Linked DNA regions of Oryzias latipes. The protein of the gene in region 2 interacts with the protein of the main gene of each other region in a pairwise test. Links are inferred from orthologs where the notes say so. Each region holds a gene or a part of one and is shown on either strand. Other genes may lie near its edges.

Evidence for each region.
Region 1: the proteins of retreg3 (region 2) and map1lc3a interact in binary tests that used the Homo sapiens proteins (3 or more experiments, as listed by UniProt). The link is inferred for Oryzias latipes from reciprocal best matches to the Homo sapiens genes RETREG3 and MAP1LC3A.

What each region holds. Positions count from the first base shown.
Region 1 is NC_019863.2:5,864,637-5,867,415, forward strand, and holds the end of map1lc3a (microtubule-associated proteins 1A/1B light chain 3A), read left to right. Parts: intron 1-947; coding exon 948-1,110; 3' UTR 1,111-2,230; downstream 2,231-2,779. UniProt on the Homo sapiens protein: Ubiquitin-like modifier involved in formation of autophagosomal vacuoles (autophagosomes). While LC3s are involved in elongation of the phagophore membrane, the GABARAP/GATE-16 subfamily is essential for a later stage in autophagosome maturation.
Region 2 is NC_019866.2:6,743,941-6,747,661, reverse strand, and holds the start of retreg3 (reticulophagy regulator 3), read right to left. Parts: upstream 2,844-3,721; 5' UTR 2,762-2,843; exon of another isoform or gene 2,524-2,761; 5' UTR 2,493-2,523; coding exon 2,245-2,492; intron 1,201-2,244; coding exon 1,094-1,200; intron 875-1,093; coding exon 844-874; intron 769-843; coding exon 642-768; intron 493-641; coding exon 408-492; intron 1-407. UniProt on the Homo sapiens protein: Endoplasmic reticulum (ER)-anchored autophagy regulator which exists in an inactive state under basal conditions but is activated following cellular stress.

The sequences.
Region 1 (2,779 bases), on a different chromosome or scaffold from region 2:
GAGAGCAAAGTCATAAGGAAAAAAGCGAGATGAGACAACGCATGTGAAAACATTTGTGCTGTAAATTCAAAATTATTTTTTGAAAACAAATATTTCATATTTTTTTTGCAACTTAGAACGTTTTGTTTGCAATGTGGTGGCATAAATATCACTTCATATTAACCATGATGCACAGCATTTGCTCACCTGAATCTCCAGGTAACTGGAGATAAAACAGCAGACCAACCAATCTGTAGCCAAGTTTCCATGACACATATGCACAAAACTTTATTGAAATTCTAGAAGAAAAAAATTGGCAATTACACTGTTTCTATTAAACTCTGATTACGTGAAAAATTACAAACCAACTCACGATAAGTTATTCAAAAATGTGGTGATGAATGTGAACAATGCTTTGATTTACAGCAGATACGTTCAGATTTCTGCCACGGCACTAGCGCTCATCATCATCTCTATCAAAGGAGACGTTGGCGTCTTATTCAGACTTTGGAGCGGCGAGCTCCTTAAACGTAGGAGCGGCTACAAATGAAGCCATTTTTGGAAATGGTGGGTGGTGATTTTAGAGATGTGGATCCAAAAACTCCACATGACGCGCTCAACTTTTGATGAGCTGTGTGACGCTGTGGGACCTCTTGTGGCGCCCGCTGTGCAGTGTCCAAGGCCGCCACTACCCACCAAGAGGCGCATTGCCATCCGGTTGTGGGTCAAGTAATTCGGAAAAAAGTTTCCATTACAGTTTTGCAAAATATCTCAATTTCAATCTGCCTCAAAAACCGCCTCCTCCGAGCGCAAAATCTTTTTCCAAAAAATGTGAGTTTTTTATTAAATTGTCCTGTTTCCATTAGACAAATTTATCACAAATCCAATTTCTGCAATTTCCTAGTCAATAAAAACACAGCCATTGACTGAAAAGATGTTTTTGCCTTACGATCTCGCCCCCACCCCAGGCGTCGGCTCCAGCTGAACCCCACTCAGGCCGCCTTCTTGCTGGTCAACCAGCACAGCATGGTGTCCGTGTCCACCCCCATCTCTGAGATCTACGAGCAGGAGAGGGACGAGGACGGCTTCCTTTACATGGTCTACGCCTCCCAGGAGACCTTTGGATGCTAAGGAGGAAGGGAGGGGGTGGGGCAGTGGCAAATCCTCCCGTGTTGGGTGGACAGATTTTTGTTGGGGTGTGCAGTTCAAATGCCCCAGGCAAACACTCACCTCTTAGCTGTGTTTTATTACAGGCCTATTGAGAATCCGAAGTTATCAGAAAAACTCGCTCCAGACCTCAGAGGACAGGTGCGTCCGTCTGCTGTCCCACAGTCCCACTTCAGTTTCCTCCTGTTCTTTCCCACGGATTTGAGTTCTTATTTTGAAAAGCTGATGCAAACCTTGGCTGAAGGTGCAGGTTTTATTCTGAAATGGGGCACAGATTACATCAGAAAGCTAGAGGATGAGTAAAGTCACGTTGTAGTTTTGCTAGTTCTTTAGTTGTGGCACAGAAGGAGCTCCAACTCCATGTCATTTGTCAGGTTGGCCTTCACCTGTGAGCCCCCTCCAGACAGACTTACCAACCAGGTTAAAGAGCTGCACTAACCTGCTGATTACCATAATGCTCAGCTTTGCTCCCAGCAGCCCGTCAGGAGTTTTTGTTTGACCGCTTCCACAGCTGCTGGACGTCTCAGAAGGAAATGTCTCACAGCGCCTATGAGGATGTGCAGGAAAGCAGGCACCATGCCTGGAACGCATCCCGCTTGTTCCGTTAGCAGGATCCCATCCATACCGCCTGGACTTTTGCGGTCTGGCGTCTTCAGAGCGGCAGCAGAAGCAAAGGTCCAGCCTCCTCTGGGGCTCATGGCAGCAGAGTTGAGCTCAAGAAACGGGATGTAATGCCGAAACGAAGCTTCTTTTGCACACGAATTAAAACAAATATGAAGAGTTTGTGGAGATTATTCTTTATTGACTGTATTAACGTTTCCTTTTTTTTAAATTAAATCTTGTCTTTTTAAAACATTGAAAATGTCCTGCACTCCAATCCTCCCGTTTTCTCCATCAGTTTTGCCTTGTATTTATACTATTTCATGTAGAAGTCTTGATGTTCTCCCAAACCAAAAACAGCATGGAGTGAGGAGACGACGATCCTACAGTCCCGCTGAGCATCTGTCAGCTTTCCTCTTCAGACTGGTGTACACAGAGGCATCGCTGCCACCTAATTTAAAGCCAATAAATAATAAAAAAGGTTGCCTTTGAGTGTCTGTGCTTTTAGGTAATGACTTTCACATCGCTGACGGGGAGCAAGGCCATGTGGGGCAACATGGCGGCCCCTTGCAGAGACTTGCTGCAGGAAAAATATCCACTGAACTACAGTGTGCAGAGATGAGTGGATGAGGCTGGAGTCAATGGTGGTGCAGATTTTCACAATTCTCCCTAATGCTGTAGTCACAGATGCAACCGCCACCACCCGATGAGAAGGCATCAGCAAAAACTTGACGTTAAGCTGGCAGCGTGGTGGCACATTGGGGTATGCGACTGTAGTCTTAAGATATTGTAACACTTGTGCTATCCTAGGCACTTTACCATTGGGAGTTGGGTCATCTAGACCCACTAGACAGTGCTCTGAACCTTTTTCTTCAATGATTTGTGATCTTCACTGGTGTCCATGGATTACATGAAATCTTTCCACCTTTATCCACCTTTGTCATGGTAGGGAGAACACGTCAATGTAAGGGTGGGGTCATCTAAGATAGCACAAGGGTTAATAACATTGTTACTGCAGCGAGCTGAGTTGGAC
Region 2 (3,721 bases):
CCAACGAGGGAGGAGGAAAGTCATGACACTTATGGTGATATTTAAGTGTTTTGCTTTTGTTTTTTCTATAAAATCAATGAAGATCTACAAACATGTTGGGTTTGAGAATACAGACAGGCGGACAGCTGTGGACTGGCCCGCCCTCTGCAGTCTAACACCAGCTCCAGGTTAGGAGATTAACCTGCTGTCCGCCTGACCTCTTTAGATTCCTGTCCTCTCCTCCTCCTCCTCCTCCTCCTCTTCCTCCTCCCTGTTTTAATCACTTCGTAGGCCAAACCTTGTGTCGGGGCCCCACAGATCTGGTTTCACTCATATATTTTTCATTTGGCATAAAATGAGTTTCCTGCCAACAGTGTAGCAGCAGGGCGTGACCGGTAGTTAGGACCGGTAAAACTGCTCGGACTCACATGCAGCGTAGGACAGTACCAATCCAGAAATGTAGCACCCAACCACGGCCAAACAGGTGAACAACCCGCAGGTCAGAACGCAGAACTGCTCCAGAGAAGAACACAGAGATAGAAGTCACTGCCTGCACAGCACGTCACCCATGTAATATTCATTGAGGGAATGCAGGTGGATCAACTGAAGCAGTTCACATGAATAAGAGGATTAAATACATGGTGCTGGGCGGTAATCCTTACATTGCCAGGGTTTCGTTGTTTGAATTGAACCATGAAGCACATGAGAACTGATCCGCTGACCCAGGCCTCTGCCAGGTGATGGCAAAGCTCTGGTACACTTAGGATGCCGGGCTGCACCAAGGCCCAGCTGCGGAAACAGACATGTTGGACTGAAGCACTTTAGCGAACAATGAATGCTGCAGAAGAAATAACAGAAACACACCTTTCATTTTCAGATTCATCCAGTTTTCTGACTGTAAAGAGCAAAGAAACAAAGCGTTACAACTGAGAGGTATGAAGACACGTGGATTAGAAAGATTCCAAAGTTCCCCAAACTGTAGTTTGGTCATTTTCTTTCTTTATCGTTTGCCGATTGATGTTCCACTCGCGCATTTAGTAAACATAGATTTTAACAAGCATAAAAAAAGGACATTCTGAATATAAAGAACCACAATTTGAAGAGAAAAACACACCTCTAATCCTTGGCCAGATTTTATTCCTCCAGGTGTCAAAAGACACAAGGACAGCAAGCGAAGAGGCCAGGATGAACAGCAGACGCATCGATGTAAAGGCAAAAAACCTGGAACCGGAAGCATGCAAATAACAGCGCTTTAGCTGCCTGTTTCCTTAAGACTATGCAAAGAATTAAATCAAATTTAAAGAAGAAAAAAAAAGCGCACAATTCAATTAATGGTAAAAAAAAAAAAAAAGGAGTGATCATTGGTTAGGAGGGGTTTCCCATAAATAAAGTTTTGAATCAACGACAAAACCACTGAAAGAACTAGTTGTTAAGCTACAAAACAGAAAAAACTGCTCTTTGTTTTTGGCTGAGTAAGACTGCCTGGGATCTAAACACGAGTCTCTGTTGCTCTAATTTCAGATCTCAGGTTTTCACAGAATTGTTGGCAACAACAATGCTGCAGGATTCTGCCAATCCTCAGATTAATCCCATTAAGACGTTTCTGGTCAACAACTATTAGCCTTTTGTTGTTTTTTGAGCATATTTTTTGGGAAGGAAACCCCTTTTTGTTTTTAAAGAAACATGGTTACTTTTATTATTCCAATGTAGAATCCAAACACTCATCATTTAAGAGATTCATTTTCAACGTGGTCGAAGATATATTTAGTATGGAGTACATGATAAAAAACAAAAATAATAGAAATGATGTGTCAAAAACGTGTTCATAAACAAGATTTTTCCAGAGATTTCTGATTAAACAAGAATGAACACTAACAGACCCCAAACTTGTGCCAGATCTGCACACTTTAACCCTGATATTTGACATTTAAAATGTTAAGCTACTGCTCAAATCTTGGATTTAACCTTTTGATTTTTAAGTTAGCAATTCACAACATCCATATTTCAACAGAATAGAGTCTAGGTTACAGTTCTCAAGCCTGTCTGTTGCAAAACACATCCTTTGTGAAAAATACTGGACTAATATCTCAAATCAAACAAGTTTTGGAGCTATTGAACCACCTGTTTGATGTTTTACTGACAATTGCAACACTTTTACTGTCATCTACTTGCTTTGCTGTCATTTTCACCTGTTTTAAAGTTTATCTTACAGGAAAATGATCACAAACAAATTTCTAAAAAAGTGTATTTATTTGTCAAACTCACCAGAACGCCGTGTTTACAGCAAGAAAGAACAGGGCGCTGTGAAGTGGTCTCTCCCACACCAGGAGAGACTGCAGGTAGGTCAGAACGGGCTCGTAGGGCCCCAGTTTGGACTGAAGTTCTGCTTTCACGACCCGAACTCGGGCGTCTCTTTCGCTGGAGAATGGTCGACTTCGAAGGCAATTGCTTGAACTCTGAGACGCGGGACGATCGTCCATAGGGGCGCTTTCCATCGCTCCAGAGTACGCCATCAAACTGTGTCTGCTGTGGAACACTGTCAGTCTGTAAAAGAGAGAATTAAGCTGAGTGGAAACCGGTAAACAGCTTGATGAGGGGCTCCGCCGGTGACAGAAGAACACAAGCTAACGGCTATCAGTGCTAACAGTGAGCGACCACAACTCCGCACTGATGTTAATGTTACAACATTTCTCTTACAGCGTTAAAAACAACATTATACAAGGTCTAAAAATAAAGTTTCAGAGAAACCTGACACTAATTATAAAATATATATCTAAAATACATTTTGTGGTCGCTTCGGAAAATGTCAACATGGCGTATCTATTCCCAGCGTCGATTGATCCAATCAGATTTCAGGAAAGCAGTTGCGTCACAGTGCGTTCAGGTACAAAAGTGCAGACTAACTTCCCAGGCTGGGGCAAAACCTCAAGCATATTTTCGTATGTTTAAATGAACTGTAAAGCTCATTTATTTAAAAAAATATATATATATTTTTTCTTATTACAATCATTTATACTTGTCTTTTTTTAATTACTTTTATGATAAGCAGAGCAGACTTGCTACAAATGTATATGGGACTTTCTACAATTCATTAAAACTCTGGAATAAACGATTCATTGGGTTTGTTTTTAATCTCTTCTTATATGACATATTTTTTTTCCTCAATCCTTGTAAAATAAGCCTCTTTATACTTATGTATGTTTATGCATGTCAAAAAAGATTACTGAAACTAATTTGTGTATCTGTCTATGCTGTTTTGTTGGACCAAAAACCTATGACGATTTATTATTACTATTGATGGTAGTAGTAAGGTTTGCTTGGTCAAGAAACACATATCATGTCAATGAAAAAATATTGTAAAATACTGTTAAAAAACTTAGTGCCTATATGGGTTTACTAAACTTTGTTTGAATTAATTAAACTTGTGGTCACTTTGTGGCACAAAATATAACGTGCTTATCGATTTGACGAGAAAAATCAAACCGGAAAAAATGCATGGCCCCAAAAAGATTATAACCAAAATGGTATAAATTGTTTTTAAAGAACAAATTCGAAAGAGAAGATTACCATCTTTAAAAAAAATGTATTGTACTCCAACACACTAGGGGGCAGCACCGAGCGTGAACATTGTCCCATGAACATCCGTAGAAGAATTCAGCACGCCAGTTAGCGGGAACGAGCGGGTTGTTGTTGTCGCTGCTGGTCAGGGGAAAATCGGTGTAACCTGGGGGCTAGCTTTCAT